Linked DNA regions of Lonchura striata. The protein of the gene in region 1 purifies or fractionates together with the protein of each later gene. This does not show direct contact. Links are inferred from orthologs where the notes say so. Each region holds a gene or a part of one and is shown in the gene's direction. Other genes may lie near its edges.

Evidence for each region.
Region 2: the proteins of RAB7A (region 1) and ARL8B purify together in Homo sapiens (affinity purification with mass spectrometry; 4 studies listed by BioGRID and IntAct, with this or other methods). This does not show direct contact. The link is inferred for Lonchura striata from reciprocal best matches to the Homo sapiens genes RAB7A and ARL8B.

What each region holds. Positions count from the first base shown.
Region 1 is NC_134614.1:12,812,331-12,822,958, reverse strand, and holds the start of RAB7A (ras-related protein Rab-7a), read left to right. Parts: upstream 1-6,648; 5' UTR 6,649-6,761; intron 6,762-10,628.
Region 2 is NC_134614.1:23,100,173-23,111,189, forward strand, and holds the start of ARL8B (ADP-ribosylation factor-like protein 8B), read left to right. Parts: upstream 1-7,004; 5' UTR 7,005-7,168; coding exon 7,169-7,291; intron 7,292-11,017. UniProt on the Homo sapiens protein: Small GTPase which cycles between active GTP-bound and inactive GDP-bound states.

The sequences.
Region 1 (10,628 bases):
AGAGTTTAAACCTGGATTTTAAAGCTCCAGTTTTGCAGGATCTGCCACACACAGCAGGAAGTTGAGGATCCTGCTGACAGCAAACAAGAGGGGGTCATTTACGGATTGGCAGTCGTTTCGCTCCCTCCAAGAGCCCTGAGTTCAAGCAGTGAGATAATGCAGATTTCTTACCAGGTTACTAAATTTTTGAATCTGCTGGCAGGGACCTTCCTGGATCATGTTCTCTGAAGTGTCAGCTGGGATTTCATTTTCTCCAGCAAAAGCACCCCTGAGCCCCTGCCTGGCTGGATCAAAACCTCTGACCCAAGCCCAGCTGTTTATGGACCCTGGCATGTGTGGATGTGGTGGTCAGCAGTGGCCCCTTCCCAAGAGACAACCTCATCATGCCCTGCCAGATGGATGGTGGTGATTCCGTCCCATCCCAGGTCTCCCAAAGAGAGGGAGCAGGAACCCCTTGTGAACAGCATTGGTCTGCAGCATGTATGCAGTTACTTTTCTGATAAGAAAAACATTCATTATCAAGGAAAAAAGAAATATGAGGATCTTTTGATCATTTGTTATTTATTTCTCTGAAGGCCTTGGGCTACCCACACAAAGCTCTCCTGCCTGCCTGCTAAGAAATGTTTGATAAGACATTTGTGTTGTTTTCCCCTGAGTCAGCAAACTGATTCACTTCAGCAGAAAGGATGGCAGCCAGTGGCTCACTTAACCCCACACAGGTCACCCAGAAAGCAGCTAAAAGACAGCCTTAGTCCCCAGAAGGCCAGCCTCAGCTCTGATGTTGGTGTCTGAAGCAGCTGGGCAGATGTTCCTCAGGCTGGCATTGTGCTGGGATAGGTGGGATAATGCATCTTCTGTAGCCTCATTGCTCACAGGTTGGTTGAGAACTTCACTGAAGAAGACAAACCCAGAGAGATCCTGTTTACCTAAACAAAGCAAGAGGTGTTGATTTCTATTTGCCAGAAATTTAGGCAGTGATATGGAGCAAGCCCTGAGTGCTGGAACAGAATAACTGGAGCTGTAACACCCACTTATAAGCATTTCAGTTTAGGATCACGCTTTGCGAGGCATACCTTCAATTTGGTGGCTCAGAGATTTGCAAACAGTGAGTCATAACTCCCTGGGGTCAGAAATGCAGCTGCTGATATACCAGGCATTGAAAAGTGTTGTCCAAGATAAAAGCAAAGTAAACCTCACTGCCCACACACCCTTATCCTTCAAGGCTAAGTATCTTTGTCACAGCCTTTGAAAACATGTACTCAAAATTATTCCAGATTCTTGTGGTTACCATTGATACAGGATTTGCTTCTCCTTTTAGAGCAGACAAGCGGGCATTGCGAAAACCCGTCACTTGAAAAGAGCTGAAGCAGATAGATCTGAAGCTAATGTGCAGCACCCTGTGCCTTGCCTGGTGTTTGAGGTGGGAATCCTGCTGTGGGACATGTCTGTCCTTCCCCTGGAGGGTCCCAGAGGAACTTCCTAGGTCTCTGCAGACAACCCCTGTCTCTTGGGATCCAGGATGGACCTGCAGACTCCACAGAGTGTGCTGCATTGCAGCCAGTTTGGTTCCTACCCACAGAGAGCTGTCTTTGGGGCATCTTTTGGCACTGACTCACTGTTAAGGAAGAAGCAACATGCAAGTCACCTGTCCCACAAAGTGTCCCACTCACAGAGGTCATGTGGCTCCAGACTCCTGTCCCATGACTCATTCTGGGTGCAACAACAGCATGACATGGCCACCTTTGTCAGAAAACACCTGCATGCAGAGCTCACGTGCCTGGTCCACCCCATCGCACAATGCCCCATGCAGAGCAGTGGCACTTGCAAAGTATTCCAGGCCCTGCCAGCCATTGGCCTGTCCTGCCTGCCCTCATGGCTTAAAAACCACTCATGGCATGAGCTAAGAGCTCTCAGGCTGACCAGATCTTCAGTGCGAAGGCTTCAGTGCTTGGCAAGTAAAAGTTCATAGAACCTGCTGCTTTGGTAACACACTCCTTATAAAAAACCTTGATCCCTGAAGGAAGGTCGGTTCTGCAAAAGCCTGTGCAGTTCTGTGCTGGCTGTTCACCTCTCTCTGTAGCTATTTTTATACCATTCCTATGGTTTGAAATGCCTTTCAGAAATGTCTGTGTTTAGAGGGACACGGATCTGACAAAGTAGCTGACTCACTCTGGCCTCAGGGAAGTTACTTCACTCTCTGGATCATCTTCTCCAATTGAGTATGAGAACAATAATATGAAATTATCTGGCATACCTCCCAATGCAGCTATAAAAAAATAATTATCTGGTATTTAGGACTGGCTGTAAAAGTGGAAAGGTGATGGTGGTGTTGGAGAACCTCTGTAGATGGGGAGTCAGGGCAGCTGGGAGACCTGCAAGAGGCTCAGGTGATTGTCACCATTTGTGTGACAGCCTCATGAGTTTATGGTTATAAACAGTGGGTGCCTCTCTAGCCACAAGCACAAAGTCTGGGCCATGGAAGCATCTCTTCCCATGTGACACTAGACATTTCCATGGGCTTTGGTTTCCACTAGTCTAGGCCCAGATAACTACAGTAAGCACAAAGCCATGTGGTGCCCACCTTACATCATGACCAGCAGCACGGGCTTTTTTCTCCCTGCCTGTCTTGCCAGGGCCAACACAAATACTTGTCTAAGGATATCCCCTGTGATCTGTATGTTGCCCACAGCCTCTGCAGGGGGCTGACTTAAAGGCAGAGCAGGTGTTTGGACCTTCTCATCTCAGGGAGTGAGCTTGCATCTAAGGGAAGGTGCCAGCATTGCCACCTCCCAGTATCAAAGAGATGACAACTCTGCAGCAGTCTTGTGGCTGTCACTATTGAACAGGGGGAAGCTGTCAAAAGAGTCCAAAGCCATTTTTTTATGTGTCTCTTTTGTCTGGTGTGAGGGGACTTGGCACAATCCCACTTTGCATCCCTGCAGGTCAGCCCTGTCCTCCCTGTGGGACTCAGGTTGCAATGGCTGCATTTAGACCTTGTATCAGGGCTTTAAGATGTTCATCCTCCAGCATTTTCTCAGTGAGCACAGACATAATCCCTGCACTGAGTGCAATGTCCTCTGCACCACAGATTGGAGATCTGCCATGAGATAAAGTGACTGCAGTTGCTTCCTATAGTTGGTATCTGGTGATCAAGTCTTGTCCAGAGCTACCTTTTTGTTTTCATGTGATGCTGCTCTATGCCATAGAAACTATCAGAGGATTGCAAAGGTGAAAGCATTAATAGATTACCAGAACAGTGTTTGTACTGCAGGCAGGGATTAGGGACAGGACAGGCAAAAGACTGGGTCTGTGCTCTTGCCAGTGGAAATGCATAGGTGGTCATGCACTAGCAGATTTCTAATGAACAAAATGCCAGCAGAAGCAGGGGGAATCTGCTTTAGACAAGATAAATCAAAGCATGACAAAACTTGGAGCATCAAAGCAAAATTTTGTGTATTTACTGCATTTTAGTTCCCTTTTTGTATGTTAGATCATTATAATTATAATTTGAGAAAGCTGCTCTGGGAGGCCAAAAGTGACAAAGGAAAGCATTGCACAGCCAGCTGAGAGAGGACAGCCACACACAGGAGGCTCTGGACAGTCAGTTTTCACTGAGGCACAGCCACTCTAGGCTTGTGCTACATCTTTCTGGGCACAGAGGCAAAGAAAGGTTGTTCCCAGCAATGAGGAGAGGCTGCAGGACTCTGAAGAGCTGAAATAAGCTGAACAAGTATCAGGGGAATAAGGGAACTCTCCACAAGCTTTTAATGTCACAGATGGCCAGGGGTGGGGTAGCTGTGTGTCCACAGAAGAGGTGAACACATTAAGCACTGTGGGGAATCCCAGATGCTCTCAGCTCATCTCAGGGATCTATAGGTGCCACAGCTGAGGTGATGTCCTCCCTGGGCCTCTCTGCAGGTGTTTTTGTACCGGTGCTCACTGAGAAATTAGAAGGGAAAAGGAGGGGCTCTTTTGGTCTAAGGACAAAAGCAAAGAGGTGGTGTAAGACACATAATGTTTGATTGTCTCTAATTGGATCAGGAAGATTAGTAAATAGAGATTAGGTGACACAAAAGGAAGAAAATCAAAGCAGGAGACATTCTCACTTCCTGGTTTAGAGGAACGAGTGCATGAAATAGGTTGAGGTTTCTGCATCAGCAAATGTCTAAAGACCTGTTACTGTAACCTCAGAGATCCAGTCAGCTATGTGAATGCCCCTCAAGGATAGAGAATGGATTTCTTCAGAGCAGTGTTAGTGATTGGGAATGATAGGCATCTGATTTTCAAACTGATCCATTTTTATGGGTTTTCATTGGAGTTTGACATTTTAGTTTCCTTCACAAGCTGCTAAAGCTCAGTGTGCTGGGCTGCTTGCTGCAGCACACTCCAGTGTTCCCAGGGCACGTGGTTATTTTGATGGGGAGAGGACAGGGGGATATATCAAGAGCCATAGCTCAATACTTCCATTTGCTACTACCATCCTCCTACTTCCACTCTGCCACTATGAATGTAGCTCCCATCCTGGATAGCAGGGACCTGTCTCCTGCCACTGGTGCTCTGTATGTTCTTGGAAGCAAGCAGGATCTTGCCTCATCAGCTTAAGAAAATGCTGTGTTCCCACCGAGGACTGGAAAGCATCTTGTCAACAGCAAGTGGCCCAGGGAACTTTTTTGTGAAATTCTGCATAACAAAGGCCTGTAACAGGTGGTGCCAGGATTGCTCCGCAGTACAAGAGGAAATGTCACTCACAGTTCTTGTTTGCTTTACATATTGTGTAAAAAAAAAATTAAAAGGAAGCTTTTAGGAAAAGAGAGCTGAGGAACATCCACTAATTTGCCAAATAAAGTCTGCCCATGACAGCCCAGCACATGGGTCTCCTGTTAAAGGCAATGGACTGGGATAAGCCAGTGCTCTGCTCCACCAGCTGCTGATGTGCTGAAGGCTTTTCCTCTTTTGTCCAATCTGCATTTTAACTAATACCACGTTTTTCTGCAGCTCTTTGCATCTAATGGGGCACCCTAAAAGCACTAATAAACTGTTGCTAAACTTTTCTTTCTCTGGAGTCTGGAGCATCTCTCTTATGAGAAGACACTGTGGCAGCTGGGCCTGTGTAGTCTGAAGATTGAGAGGGTGTCTGTAATCCATACAAATATCTCAAAGGCAGGTGCCAAAAGGATGGTGCCAGACTCTTTTTGGTGGTGCCCAGTGACAGGACGAGGAGCAAAGGCCATAAACCAAAACACAAGAAGTTCCACCTCAACATGAGGAAGAATTTCTTTAGGCTGAGGGTGGCAGAGCCATGGAACAGCTGCTCAGGGAGGGCATGGAGTCTCGGGAGACATTCAGATCTCACCTGGACGTGTTCCTGTGTCACCTGCTCTGGGTGACCCTGCCTTGGCAGGGGGCTGGGCGGGATGATCTCCAGAGGTGTCTTCCAACCCCAACAAGTCTGTCATTGTGTGATTTTCTTTTTAATATTGCTAGAATATTGCCTCGGTCCTTTATTATCTTTCACTAGATTTAAAAATACTTTTTTCCCCTTGGTGTCTTTCCTGAGTTCATAAGCTAACTAAACCCACAGCAGTCACATGACTTTGATGAATAATAATATTCAAGTAATTGCTGAGTAACAAAATGAACTTGCTGCCAACACAGAGTAGAAATATGGATTTCACTTATACAACCAGGATAGTTATTATCCCATGGATTTAAGTCCAGAGACTTCAGAAGGCCCCATTTTACTTGCCTGCCTATTGATCTTGGTGCTGACAATTGCCTGGTTAATCAATCTAAATGTATATTCAACTGGCATCTTTTATCTTCTTTCCTGACAAGCACTGTTGCTACTACCCCACTTTAGATTACAGCTGCGAGTAAAAAATTACAAATATTAAACATATATAATCTAAAATGTAGTCTAAGTAATAGCTGAGGGTTTTTATCACATAGGAATGCAACTGCAGAGAACTCCGCGCTAGCTCTTCAATGCTATTTAGAAGACAGCGAAGAACAGATTTGTGCCTGTGTGTCCCCATCGTTTATTTCCGAAAGCACAAAGGCTTCTTTGGCCCTCCCGCCTCCCCTCAGCGCAGGGTGCGGTGTTCGCTGCCCTGCTGCGCTGGCAGCCGGCGGGGCAGGCAGGTCCCAGCGCAGCGCTGCCGTGCGTGCGGCCCGGCGGTACCAGCACATTCCGCCTGCACGGACCGGACCGGCGGTACCGCCGCATTCCCCCTGCACGGACCGGACCGGCGGTACCGCCGCATTCCCCCTGCACGGACCGGCCCGGCGGTACCAGCACATTCCGCCTGCACGGACCGGACCGGCGGTACCAGCACATTCACCCTGCACGGACCGGACCGCCGGTACCGCCGCATTCACCCTGCACGGACCCGGCCCGGCGGTACCAGCACATTCACCCTGCACGGACCGGCCCGGCGGCACCAGCACATTCCCCCTGCACGGACCGGCCCGGCGGTACCGCCGCACTCCCCCCGCCCAGAGCCGGCCCGGCGGTACCGCCGCACTCCCCCCGCCCAGAGCCGGCCCGGCGGTACCGCCGCACTCCCCCCGCCCAGAGCCGGCCCGGCGCCGGCCATGCGGGCGGGCCCGGTGACGTGGGGGCGGCGCGGTGACGCCGCGGCCCCGTGAGCGGAACTCGTCGGGGAGGCGGAAGCGAGCGCGGGAGGCGGCGGGGCCCATTAAAGCCGACGAGGCGGGCGGGGGGCGCAGCGATCGGGGTCGGGCCGCGGCGGCAGCACCAGGTGAGCCCGGCGGCCGCGCGCGCTGCCCGCGGGGCTGCGGGGGCGGCCTCGCCCCGGGCCGGGGCAGCCGCTGGCGGCCCCTCCCCGGCACCGGGGGGCCGCGGCGGAGGCGGCGCTGTCTCGGTGCTCCCGGCCGGCTTTGCACCGGGGCCCGGCTGGTTTGCCCGCCCCGAGGCGGGCTCAGGCGGCCGCGCCGCCTGGAGCCGGGCCCGGCGCTGCCCCGGGACGATACGGGGGGCTCTCCCCGGGACGGGGCTCCTCCCCGAGGGCCGCTCCCAGGACGCGCGTTCCGCCCGGCCTTTGTGGAGCCCGCTGTGCCGGGAGGCTTGGGGAGGCCCGAGCGGTGCCTCCCGGGGAGGGAGCGCTTTGTCTGCGGCGTGCGGAGCCGCTCCGGCTCCTCGGGAGGGTTCGGGGCGGCCGGCGGCCGAAGGAGGGCCGGGGCCGCGGGGGGACGGTGAAACGCTGCTCGGGGGGTCGGCGGGGAGCGCTTTTAGCATGACCCGGCACCCCGGGAGCAATTAAACTGGCCAAAGAGGTGGCCGAGGACACTGGCAGTTATTGCGAAAGTAGCTGTCGGTGTGTGTAAAGCCTGAGTCAGTTCTAAGAACTATTAGAGTGGACGTTAGAAGTGCTTTTGTCTGTAAGTGTGTAATAAGGTAAATTAAGTGATAGATACATTATTAGTTTCCCTATATATAGAGAGAGACTAATAAACATGGAAATGCCTGGTGGTTGTACTTAAGACAGTTGCACTCCCTGTAAATAGAGGGCTTATTTTAGTTGTAAAAACGGCTGTCTTAATCTGAAGTAGGATAGGTAACCTCAGCATCAAAATGTGTGTCTCACCTAGTACTCTCCGCCTTTTGTTCTCAAAGCTGGAAATTTCAGCATTATCTCCTGGAAAGCTACAAATGTTTGCTGATAAGCAGAGCTGTTGTGGTCTGTGTGTATGAGATTTTTATATGTAAACTGAGAACACATGACAGAATGAAGTCCCCCCCCCACAGCTGTAAGCAAGCTGTTCTTTGTCTGACACTTGCCAGCATGGAACCTTAAAGCTTTCAGTACTTGTCACTGGCTGGCCAGCGTTGGCCTATGCCGAACAGTCTGTATCCATGTGGGTATTGGGTTTGGGGAAGTGGAAGATTCTCTTTTTAGGGGAATGGTACATAAGTAGCTGTGCCACAGTGTTTTGGCTGGCTGTGACTTGAAGGCTGTGGTGGTACCAATGGCGTGTGAATAGCAGCTGCAGCCTGGCTCTGGTTCCAGTAGAACCAGGCTGCTGGAGTCAGTGTACCCTGCTCTCTCAGGAGCTGAATTTGAGGTTAAAGTGGGTGGAGTAATTTGAATATTCCTTGTTAAATAATCAAGGCTTCGTTGCTGTACTTACTCGGGAAGAACAAGTATACTTTTCTTTCCCCCTCTCCCTTGTGACTCCCAACAGCTGACTGAACACATGACTTGCCCTCCATGCACTAATGAGTGGACCCACCATGCCTGCCTGGCCTGAGTCCTCAGAATTAAAGCAGCTCTAGTACTGTTAACTTTACAGCATTGCCTTATTTGTTTATTTGGGGTGTATGTTTGTGTGTTTTGGATTTTTTTCTTTATTCTTTGTGCTGTTATGTTACTACCCTACGTCTGGTGTAGAAAAGCTGTTATGGGGCTAATCTGACCCCTCAATAATGAAGACTTCTGAAATCTCATAGCAGTTTCTTGCTCTCCCAGCATGTAGTGTGAAGTATAAGATGGGAGTAGCTGTGTTAAATGTTCTTCTTTCCTGTGGTGTCATGCAGTGGTCCCTGTCCTCAAACTCAAATACCCTCATAATAGCTCAGCACAGAATCACAGACTATTCCAAGTTGGAAGGGACACATAGGGATCATAGAAGTTCAATTCCTGGCCCTGTACAGGACACCCCCACATGTGCCTAAGAGTGTTCAAGTGCTCTTGAGCTCTGGCAGGCTTGGGGCCATGGCCATTTCCCTGGGGAGCCTGTTCCAGTGCCCAGCCACCCTTTCGGTGAAGAACTTTTTCCCTACAGCCAGCCTAAACCTGCTTTGACAAAGCTTCATGTTCTTTTCTTAATCCTGTCACTGGTCACCAGAGTGAAGAGGTGGGAAACAGGACACCCCGAGTTGTACCTTCAGGGTGACAAGTTAAGAATTTAAATAACTGTGTGGCAGAGTTTTCACTACAGGCATCCTGGCCCTCCTGTCAAAGCCAGGGAATCCAACTTTCTGAGCAGCACAGACATGTTAGAAGATTGATAGATCCTCAACTGAAAGTGTAAAATATACAAGCTCTGCTCTGAAGTGACCTGGGAGAGATATGACTTTGCTTAGTTTGCTAACCAAAATGAAGGCTTGTGAGCAGGAGGGTTACCAGATTTATTTTCTGCAGCACTTTCTTAAAGCTCATGTTTTAGGATACTTGTGTTGGATGGTTGTGAGAAGTACCTGTTGGAGCAAATCTCTGGCAAAGCTTGTCCTTGAGGAAACATAACAATTGCCATCAAACCATCTGTGCAAAACTATAAATAGTTCTGTCTCTAACATATATGGGATTTTGGTCTGACTTCTGTGTGAAAATGAGACTGTTTTATGCAGAACTTAACATTTGGCTGTAAACAACATTGGCTATGCTTGGTTAGGGTGTGTTTTTTAATGCTGCATTGTGAGAGAAGGTTTGCAGGTACCTGGCTTGAAAATAAGGGCTATGCAATAGGGCACTTAGATGTATTCTCTGAAACTGTTGGATGATGTGGGCTCACAAGTACTTATTGTTGCATGTCCTTGCCTTCAGAATGCAGCGATTTCGTTAGTGACTGAAGTAAACTGACCCTTTGTGAAACAAACACAGGACTCTCACCTTGCACGTGTCCATGTTTCCTTGTGTCTTCTGGGCTTCTCCTTGGCTGTGACCTGACCTGCTCTGAAGTCCCTGTTACTGGGCCCAGATGTACCTAACATTCCCTCACAGAGTTGTAAAGTAATTTAAAGATTGGTGCCTCCACAGAAGGGAGTCCAGCTAAGACCTTACCTAAATGATGAACTTGGTTGGACACATGTGCTGCTTGTCTGACAGCAATCTTGCATCTTTCAGATGCTGAAGTACTTCATTCTTGTGCCTTGCACAGCATTGTCTTGCTAATTGCAATTTTAATTGCCTGATGAGTTAGTGTTGAGTTGGCTTCCCTTTGCAGCTTCCTAAAATGATATTTTGTAGTTGCTGTGTAACAGTCTGCCTTCAGATATAGCTGTGACCGGAGATTGTGAGGATAAAAGTGTCATTCTCTGCAGCATCAATCCAAACACGAGCTGTGCATCTCAAAACTGAATTAGATATAGATAATTACTTGAATGACAATAGTTGGTACACCATGCTTATTTGTGCAGTGAGGGGCTCGATTGAAGGTCCCATTTCTCTTTAAATGTACCTTGAATAAAGCTCGCAAATGAGCGTCCAAGGTCAGGAGCTGCACACGTGCTGCTCAGAAATAGCAGGTGCTGAAGGGATATCCCTGTGTCACTCGGTTCCCCTCTGGCTCCTGGTGTGCTTGTTGCTGTCTGTTGGTAGGATGCAGCTCTGGAGCCCAGCGTGCTGCTGCATTTTGTGTTGGAGAGATGTGCCCTGGTGATGTCATCGCTGCTGCGAGCGCTGCTCCTGGAGGCTGCTCCTCCTCCAGCGCTCTGGCTGTGGGAGAAGCTTTGGAACACGGCTGCTGCTACCTCATGGTCAGTGACCCTGGGAGGGGAGGCAGGCTCATCAAGGCCATTGAAGTGTGTTGATTTGCAGCTTATCTCCAGTCGCCTTGACTTCTCTGCCAGGAAACCTGTTATTGAGGCCATAGCTGTCTACATAGGG
Region 2 (11,017 bases), about 10 Mb from region 1:
GTGGTTTTGCTAATTCCCTTGCACTTTGGTTTAATAAAGCAGGATTTGTCTGGTGGGAAAGTGTAACAGTGGGATTTAAGCTGTGTGAGTCTCATGACTGGTGCTCGCCTGGCTGGGTGGGAAGCAGGGAAGCATCGATTGAATTCTGTCTCTCCTGTGTTCTCGTGTTTTTAAACACGATTGGAGTGCCCACAGCTTTGGATGAGCTTTATTTGGGATGAGATTTGTTTAAAAAATCCATATGCAGATGCTTGCACTAAATTCTGTTTTCCAGAACTGCAGTGCCCCATGTCCTGGGGGAACCAGCACTGCTTGTTTTGTCAGTGCCTTGTGACAAAGACTCACCTGAACTGAGAAAGGATAAAGAGGGGTGGCCAGGACACAGGGGGAGAAGGGGCAAGTTAGTATCTGGTACAGCCTCTGTAAGCAAACAAGATCTTTCTGCTTCTGGTTTTAATGAGAAAGTCCCCAATGGAAATTTAGACTCTGGATCTGCATCAAATCCTCAAAGTTCAGGCAGTTTAGAGCAAGGACTTTGGTCCATTCCATCACTCATCAAAGCTGCCTGCAAAATTCACATCCCAATACGTTTTTCCAGTCATAAATTCTGCCAAAGATGCGTGCTTAGATGCAAGATATTTTTCCTCTTTTTTATCCCTTTTGCTAATTTAATTCCCAGATCTAAATCAAGTTTTCCGTCTCAGACTTCCAGGAGCTGGGATGCCTTTGCTTGCAGTTGGGAAGCTTTGCTGTGTCCTGTGTGGTGTGGTGGGGGATTGGAAAGGTTCACCTGCCTGCAGGTGACCAAGTGAAAGGGGGGGCCTCGGGGTCAGGCTGCTTTATTGCCAGAGCCCAGATTTTGGGATGGTCTAGAGAGCAAATCATTACAGTGCTCTTGCCCTTCTCTCCCTTATTACTAAGAGGATAAAACCCAAGCCATTTTTTGGATATTCACAAATATGCTCCTGATGAAGGCCCCGAGCAACCAGGCAGATTTTCTGAGCAGCCTTGAAGCAGCAAGGCACAGCAGACACATGCTGGGCTCTCCCTTATTCTTATTCTTTTCTGTTTTCTTGGGTATAATAATAAAAGCTAATCAAAGTGATGCTCTCCAGCAGGCTTTTGTGTATGGCATTACAGCAAAATCCTAAATTCCCCTTCCTGCTCATGCATACAAAGCAGGAAGAACTAGGATGGCTGCAGTCTATTTTCAGATGATTTAGCCAAGGAGAAAATAGCTGGATGGCTGGAAGAGGAGCGTTTGATAGGAAATAACCTTGAAGCACAGCTCTGACATGATGGTGTGAGGTGTCCAGCCCCGCTCCGTGAAATGCCAGCAGGGAAGGTGACTTCCAGAGGAGATGACAAAGGACAATGCAGACAAGCAGAGCACCCAAAATCCAGTGCAAGGGAGACTGCAGAGTGGGCTGGGTGCTCCCTGTGCTCCTGATTTCAGCACTGATGTACACGGAGGTCCCCCTGCTCAGTTCAGGACTCTCACCAGGTGCTGAGGCAACAGGTTGTGAGTTTGGCTGGTGTCAATGAGTGCAGCTGACAGATTGTGAGTTTGGCTGGTGTCAATGAGTGCAGCTCAGCTGGCTGGGCTCACGGGAGCCTCTTTGTACCTGTAGCTGTGCTCCTTCTTCCCCACTAAAGGCAAAGGCACCACCTGGGATTTGCCCCTCACAGCTGGGGCAAATTGGATGCTCCTTTGGTACAAGGTGAGAGTGTGGTGACAGCTGTGACACCTCTGGGGACAACTGCCCAGAGATGTTCCCTTCGGGCAGGCTGGGGCTTGGGTTTGCTGTTCCTCTCTTGCTCTCCATCTCTTGGGAGCAGCTCATTGCTGATAACATCCCTCGCTTTGGATTTATTCCCAAAAATAGAGAGGAAGATTTGCAGGACCCTGCGGTGCCCATGTGCCAGGGGAGGGCTGGGTGTGGGCGATGGCACAGGGGGCTGCGCTGTGCAGGGAGCCCTGCCAGGGCAGGGTGAGGGTGAGGATGGAGGTGAGGACACAAATGCTTCAGGAAAGGAGGACGGCTTTGGTGAGGCTGCATCCCCCTCTGCTGGAAAATCGCAGCAAAGGCAGCAGAGCCCCTGGCCAAGGAGAAAACTTGAGAGGAAAAGGGGAAATTAAAGTGCAAAGAACACCAGTGAGGCCCGGGTTCCCTGGGGCATCGCAGCATCCAGTCTGGGCTCTGCTGGGGTTCATCCCATGCCTGTCACAATGACAGAGCTCCTGCTGGGGACATCCTCTGCAGAAACTGGGACACGTCTCATTTGTGCTGGGCACAGTCCCTCTTCCCAGTATGGGAAGGAGTGAGGCAGGGGCAGCACCCGGAGCCGTGGCTCAGGCTGGTCCTGGTGATGTGGCAGAGACTCACAGCAGGCAGAGCATCCTGGCTGGAGCTGAACAGAATTGCACAGACAGGCTCAGCGCTGTACTGCTGGGTTCAGAGCTCCTCTGCAGCCCAGGTGGTGTCCAGGGACCACGGCTGATGGGCATGAGCTGCAAAACACTTGGTGGGACTGAAACACACATGGCAGCCTGGACTGTGGGCACTGGGTTTGTCAGGAAAGGGGCTGCAGCACTGTTTGGATATTGCCTGGCAGCTGGGAGGGAGCTCTGCCTCAAAGCAGAGGCTGCAGAAAATGCCTCCCCTGGCCTGGCACCATGTGCATGGTCCCTGGGTGGGCAGCTCATGGCTCCGTCTGACCACGGACCTCCAGCTGTGGCTTTCCCAAGGTGCTGCTCCTTTGAGTCTGGTCACAGAGGTGTCTGGGCAGAGCTGGAGCCCAGGGCTCTGTGCCCGCCTTTCCGAGCCTCACTTGGAGGCTGTTTGTGCTTAGGCTGGAAGAATGGGTTTGTTTCCTCGTAGATTTAAAATCTAAATTACAGAAAGGGTGAAATGCGGTGACTGGGCTGGCCAAGGCCCTGACTGTGCACTAAATCTGCAAGCGTGGGCCTGGCTTTTGTGCAGGGGGCTCTGCAAGTGCCAAGGTCACTGTTAATAAATCTGACTGGAGGACCAGGAGAATTTTATTTAACTTACTGCTAACAGCAGGCTCCTTTTTAACTATCTTTTATTTTTTTTCCCCTTGCTCCCTTCTGCTGATTCATGCTCCTGCTTCTTAAGCACTGGGAGATGCCAGCATTCCTAAAGGTCATCACTTGCATGCAGCAGCTCATGCTGGGGAGTGTTTGCCAGCACCTACGAAATCGAAATGCTAAAGCAACTGCCATCATTTATATTTTCCCTGGCAGCGACAGACAGTCGCACAGCTTGCCAGCCGCCAAGCTGCCACGTTTCCAGGCTTGGGGACTACTCCAGGGTGAAGGAGGTGTGTGAAAAGTGGTGCCTGCTGATGAACCTGATACCGGGTCACCTTGAGATGAGGATTCTCACCTGGGCTCAGCTGCGGGCAGTGCTCCTAGAGAAACCTCTGAGCTGCATTCAGACCATCCCGGCGCACTGCGATCCCGTGCCTCTGGAAATGAGATCCCGCTGCTCACGTCAGCTTTCACCCAGGAGCCACGCTGCTGCCTGCTGTGGCTCTCAGACTGTCAGAGAGAAACAGAGAGTTTCTAACCAGGCAGAAACCTGTTGGAAAAGAATGTAAATAATTCTTTATTTCTCTTGTTGTTCGCATTGTTTATAGTTAAATTTTATCACTGTGCGTCAAGCACTCTGCACCAACGGTGTAGGTTGTTTTCACTTCAGGATCAATGGAGTTGGTCTGAATGAAACTCTGTATAAAGAGTGGTGGATTTTGAATAAAATCGGAGTTTTACTCTCAGCAACCTTTGGAGTCAGAGTCTTTTTGTTCCCATCCTGCCTCAACAGCATCAGCCTGCCCTGGCTGCCTCCTCGCTCCCCTTCTCCCCTTCTCCTCCCCACTGTGGTGCTTTCCTGGGCTGCAGAAAGAGGCAGGATTTTATGGCATGCTGGCAGCGTGCAAACAGCTCTGGGGAAATAAGTTATGGTTTCATTTTCATGGGGTGGCTCCCTCTTCATGGCAAAGGAATACTTCTGGTTCAGCTCGAGCAGTAACAGCACAACTGACACGTTTCTTTTTTCAGGAAAGAAGTGAGGAAGACACAGAGAAATCCTTCCTTTGCTCCTCGGTTTTTTAATGACTGTTTCTACTGTGGCAGTACCAAAAATGCTGTGTAAAGTGACAGGAGGACTGTTACAGGCTGTGGCAGGTTCAGGAACCAGTTATTTCATGTGCACCTCTGTAGAGGTGAGCACTAATCTTACCCTTTCCTTTAAGAGTCTGTAACACAAGAAGACACATACTTGTACCTGCTATCATCTGCCTCTTTCTTTCGATATTATTTTAAGTGAGCCTTGAAAGAGCAGGGCTGGAAAGAGCCCCCAGCTGCCTGCTGGCACTGCGGAGTGAGGCTCCCGTTTGTCCTCACAGGCTCAGATTCCCCAGAGCCAAGAGCTTCTCCCTCCCTCCACAAGGAGGATCCTGACCTGGGAGGCACCCACAGCCTCATTTTATAATATTTTTCATTATTACATTTTACATTATTAAATGAAAATATTATTTATTTTATAAATATGATATATTATAAATAATAGCATCAATATTATACATTATATAAACACAATATAGAAATATATTACCTACATGATAAAATAAAAATTTACATTATTTTATATTATAACATTTTATATTTTTACTATTGCATTTAACATAATTTATATAATTTAATTAAAAATATATATTTATAAATATATATTTATAATTAATATAATAAATATAATATATATTAAATATATACAATATAAATATATTATAAATTTAAATTTACATAATTGTATGTTTTATATGTTAAATAATACCTTCATTATTTTTATTTTATATTTAGTGTTTTATTTATTTTTAATTTTTATTATTTTTATTTCTTATTTAATATTATTTTATTATTTTATTATTACATTTTACATCATGTATATTATTAAATTAAATATAGTTAAATTAAATTAAATCAAAACATAATCTATTTAATAAATATTATATATTTATAAATAACATAATAAGTATCATCAATATAAAATATACACCACACAAATATATATATAATCAGATTAAAATGTGCATAATTTTATATGATAACATTTTATAACCCAGCTGAACCCCTGGGAGAAAACCAGCACCCAGACGAGCTGAGGGCACTAACAGGGCACGTGTGTTTGCCTCCTCAGAGGAGGAAAGGCGAATCCCAGAGCGATATTGTCGATTTTGGCTGGGCAGCAGGGCAGGTGCCACACACACAGCGGGCGCCTGGAACTCATCAAATCAATTAGCTCCTTCGGCTGTGGGAGGAGTTGTCAGCCAGAGACAAATTAAAGGAATGTCCAGTAAAATATTCTGTTCTGAGAGGAGCCGTCTTATTTTCTCATATAACGACAGGCTCCGAAATCTGCACAGCTCAGCTCGTTATTAGAACTAACTGGTGCCAGGTGTTCCGTCCTCTCTGATAGGGCCAACCATGGGGGTGAAATTTTCTGAGTTAATGAGGCAGAGGATGGATTAAGAACTTTCAAAGTGCAGTTCGTATCTCAGCTTAATTGGAAGGGGTAGATTAGTTGGCTTTTTTGAATGGCTACAAAGGAAAGCCGTGTTTTGGGGTGGAAAAGCACAAGCGCCTTCCCTGCCGCCGGGCGCTGGGAATCGCTGATTTTGGTGTGGCAGAGCCGTGGCGTTTGAGGGCAGCGCCTTCCCCAGCCCCGTGAGCCTGAGCAGGGGTGAAATGGGATTTATTCCGTGCGTGCAGCACTCCGTGCTCCTCCTGTGCAAGCTCTGTGGGCAGAGAGCAATTAGTGCAGATCTCAGGCCGGCAGAGCAAGGGCTGCTCTGGGTGTGGGCATCCTCCCGATGAGATCCACGTCCCCCAGACCGTCATGCCCCCTTCCACAATCCCATTCCAACTGTTGGTTTACACCTCTTTTACTCTGTTCTGAAGAGTAGATTTGTGACACCCATTTTTTCTGGCTCGGAAATGTAATTTTTCTGTGTGATTTAGAACTTGATTTAGAACTCTTCATTCATTGTCACCACACACAGCATGGTGGGACTGGGGGTGACAGACCCCTCCTCACCATACCCAAAATGGTGGGACTGGGGGGACACACCTCACCCAGCATGGTGGGATTGGGGTTACCCCCCTCACCACACCCAGCATGGCAGGATTGGGTTCACACCCCCTCATCGCACCCAGCATGGTGGGATTGGGGGTGTCACCCTCACCACACCCAGCATGGAGGGATTGGGGACCCCCCTCACCACACCCAGTATGGCGGGATTGGGGGGACACCCCTCACCACACCCAGTATGGTGGGATTGGGGGGACACCCTCACCGCACCCAGCATGGCGGGATTGGGGTCACCCCTCACCGCACCCAGCATGGCGGGATTGGGGGACACCCCTCACCACACCCAGCATGGCGGGATTGGGGGGTCAGACCCTTCCTCACCACACCCAGCATGGCGGGATTGGGGTCACCCCTCACCACACCCAGCATGGCGGGATTGGGGTCACCCCCCTCACCACAGCCAGCATGGCGGGATTGGGGTCACCCCCTCACAGCACCCAGCATGGCGGGATTGGGGGGTCAGACCCTTCCTCACCACACCCAGCATGGCGGGATTGGGGTCACCCCCTCACAGCACCCAGCATGGCGGGATTGGGGTCACCCCCTCACAGCACCCAGCATGGCGGGATTGGGGTCACCCCTCACCACACCCAGCATGGTGGGATTGGGGTCACCCCTCACCACACCCAGCATGGCGGGATTGGGGTCACCCCCTCACAGCACCCAGCATGGTGGGATTGGGGTCACCCCCTCACCACACCCAGCATGGCGGCCCGGCCCGCCCGGCCCGGCCCGGCCCGGCCCGGTCCTCCCGCCGCCAGGGGCCGCTGCGGCGCGGGGCGGGGCCGGCGGGGCCGGTGAGCGCGGCGTCACGTGCGGGCGGCGGGGGGAGCCGGGCCCGGACGAGCGCGGCTGTCCCGGAGCGGCCGAGAGCAGCGCCCGGCTCGGCACAGCCCGGCTCGGCACAGCCCGGCCCGCAGCGTCCCGGCCCGCCGGAGCCATCGCCCGGCCCACCCCGCACTGCCCCCGGCCCGGCCCGCCCGCCCGCCGCCACGATGTTGGCGCTGCTGTCCCGGCTGCTCGACTGGTTCCGCTCGCTCTTCTGGAAGGAGGAGATGGAGCTGACCCTGGTGGGGCTGCAGTACTCGGGCAAGACCACCTTCGTCAACGTCATCGCGGTGAGCGGGGCCGGGCCGGGCCGGGCCGGGCAGGGGCTGGGTGGACGGAGCGGGGATGGAGCCGGGCCGCGCCGGGCCGCGGGGATGGAGCGGGGATGGAGCCGGGCCGGGCCGCGGGGATAAAGCGGGGATGGAGCGGGGCCGGGGGGATGGAACGGGGCCGGGCCGCGGGGATGGAGCGGGGATGGAGCGGGGCCGGGCCGCGGGGAGCATCTGTGAGCTCTCTCCGGGGGGCTGCCCGGGTTTTGTGAAGCTTCGTGTGGAATGGGACCCGCTCGGCCCCACAGCGGGCTCTGAAGGCGCCTTTGAGTCAGGGTGTTCGGTGTGGCGGGGCTCTGTTAGCAGATGTGGAGATAACATTGTGTGTCTTCAGCTGCCGCCTGCCTTTGACTGCTTTTCGGTAGTTCTAAATCATTTAGGTGTCAGCACCCACTCACGGTTCTCCTCTCAAGTATTTGCTTATCGATTGCTGAAAACCGTGTCAAATAATGTCCTTTCTCTTAAGGTACAACTTAGCTAAGGAGTACAGCTCACAAGCACGAGCCCATCAGCAGCAAGGTGCTGCGCTGGGGCCTGCTGATCTGGTGATGTGCCTGGAGCAGGTAAAGGAAGGGTGTGGGAATACTCCTACACGAAGCTTTTCCATTGTTGAACGAGATAAAGAGTGGCTTTGCCTAAATGGCGTGTTCAGCTTCATCAGTGTCCTGCTGTGCTGATGTATGTGATGGAAAACATTGCAGGAGACAAGCTGGACTTTGGCAGCTCCTGAAATGGGCAGCCAGGGTATCTTTGGGTTTCTCAGGCAATGTGAGTGACCTGGGTGCAGTGCACCTCGAATGAGAAAGCTGATGTCTCCAGCTTTAGACTGAGCACACCATCGCCTCCTCTTTTGGTTCTTGATGCTGTCTCCTTAGCACCATGGAATACTTGTAAAGAATGTATATATTTAAGTGCCAGTTGAATGGGTTAGTGTCTGGGAAAAGGATTTTCATTCTCTTGCAGTTACGCATCATCCTTGCACATTGACAAACACCTTGGCAAACCATACCCAAGCCCTTGAGTAGCTCAGGTGTGAACACTCAGTGGGCTTCCTGATAATCATGGAAAATGGGTTACTTCATTAAAGGCAACTTCTCTGACTAGTTGTCAGCTAAAAGTTGCTGGAGTAACCCAGGAAAGCCCAAAGCCTTTTCTTTCACACTTTGCCAATACATCTTGGCTTGGATTTGTAGAAATGGAGCTCTGAAATTGTTGTTCAGCCTTGATCTATGGCTGCTGAGCTGGTACTGCTTGGAGTGTTTCTGCAGCTGGGGGCTCTCTGCAGGCTTTTCATGCTCTGGAGTCCTCCTTGGGATGGAAAAAACCACTTTGCTTCTGTATAGTAGCAGCAGCAGGAGTTTGGGGAGTTACCTGTGAAGCTCACTGTGGGTATGTGCAGCAGTCAGAGCTGCGGTGGCTGCACATCAGTCGAGTCCATCTAAGTTGTCTCCAGTGGGAAAAGTTTCCCTAAGTAAAGCTGGAGTCTGTTTCCAACCTCCTCTGCGGGGGTTGAATCTTGCAAGGTTTCAGCCACATGTTAGGATCACACCCAGGCATTTATCTGAGTGAGTGCCATTCAGGGAGCCTTGCAAAACCCTGGGGAAGGAGGAAGCTGTTGAGCATGCTGACACAGCCTCCTTAGCTGGTTTAGTTTGGAAGCATCAGGTCACATTTCTGAAGCTTTTAATTAGGAAATCCGGTGAGTCTTTACACGAAAAACCAGAGGGAGGGGGTTTGGCTAGGTCTGTATTATTGGTTTAAACAAAATAATGGCATAAGCTTCAGTTGCCAGTGCAAAATCACTTTTTAGAGCAGTGCAGTCCAAGGCATGCACAGCTGTCTTCTTATTTGCTTCCTTGACTGACTTTGGTTCAGAGTCTGCATTTGGGAATGAGTGCAGGAAAAGAACAACTGCTCTCTGCAGGCCACTTAGTGGTTTGGGTGGATGAGGCTGTTGGGATTCCTCAAACTGAAATGAAAGGAATGACACAGCAAGATGTCCCGTAGGACAGCTCTAAAGGCTGGAGTGCACACCAGGAACTTGGTGTGGCCTAGAAGGTTGTGTGCTGCCTAAGCAAGAGATGTTGCCAGTCTCCACAGCAGTGAGTTTAATCCAACATAAATGTCTAATGTAATCTCTTCCCATCAAATCAGGCATGTGGAACTAGAGGGAAAACTCAACCAGTTCCACAGGGAAGCTTGGTATGAGGCCTGACTGCTGCTGAAGTGGACAGGCCACGAGAGGCAAGCAGTCCAGTTCTAGAATAATCCTTTTCTAGATTGGTGGCGGGTTTTGATCACGTTTTTTCCTCCAGTGTAAACAAACACTTGATTTGTAATCAGACTAAACAAGGGCCTGGAGAGAGGACAAGAGGGAATGGATTTGAACTGAGAGATGGAGAGGTCAGATTAGATATTAGGGATAAATCCTTCCCCATAGGAGTGGGCAGGCCCTGGCACAGGTTCCCAGAGCACCTGTAGCTGCCCCTGGGTCCCTGGAAGTGTCCCTGGATAGGGCTTGGAGCACTCTGGGATAGTGGAAGGTGTCCCTGCCCATGATAGGGGGTGGCACTGGATTGTCTTGAACGTCCCTTCCAACCCAAACCCTCCTGTGTTCAGTTTGATTAGAACGTTTAAAACCCAACGTTAGCAGTGAAATCTCATTAGAGCTGGATTCAGCTAATGCAGCTTCTGCTTTTCTAAGGCTCTGCATTAGTCACTGTCTCTAATTAGATATTAAGCATAAGTTTTCCATGTGCATGAGTAAACTTGCTCACAAGGGAGGATATCATTTCTTCCTGGTCCTAATTTCCCTAATGTGGATGGCCTGTGGTTCTTATTCAGAGAAACTGCATGTCATCCCAGGATCGCATCTGGAATTGTCGGCTCCCGAGCCGAGCCCTGGAAGTGCCCATTATTTACAGCCTCTGCAGGATCTGGTGTTGTTTGCAGCTCCTGGCGTTCCCTGAGCCCGGCAGCTGGAGCTGGGAGCCGTGGCTGTGCTGCTGTGGGGAGCACGAGGGGCTGCTGGCCCTGGGAGGCTGCTGAAACACGGCTCAGGTAAGCTGAGCCTGCCCCCAGGGTGCTCCTGCAGCTCCACACAGTGCATGGAAGAGTGCCTGGCCTGGGGGTTCTGTGGAAGTTCTGCCTGATGCCTGGAAGGTTGATCCTTGATCCAGGTGTTTGGCACTGGAACACTGAAGCTCATTGAGCTGATAGTCAGCGAGCAGAGATCTGGAGGAGTGGGAAGAAGTTGGACTTTCCTGATGCACTTATCAGGTTGAAGAGCTAAACACAACCTGTTTGTGGTGACAGGGTAAATAAGGTCCTTTTTCAGGATTTGTGTCAGAGCCTGAATTAGTGTGGTTGGATTTTTAATTTTGGAATGAGACTGGTTTCTAGAGAGAGGCAATTCCTGAAGTGCCTATCAACGAAAGATTCGTTTGGCCAGCTGGGAGCTGCAACTTCCTTCTGTTCTCATGACTGTTAGAAGTAATTTTGGCTCGAAGAAGCTGCACCAAAGAAGTGGTGGCAGAAATGGGCAGAAAAATACTGCTTTAAAGAGCTCCACTGCTGTTTTAATGCCTTTTGAACCACTCAGGTAGGCCATAAATCTCATGTGTTGTCACTTCATACACACCGTGGCTAAGGGAGAAGGCTGATAAAACTTGAAGTGTTTCTTAATGG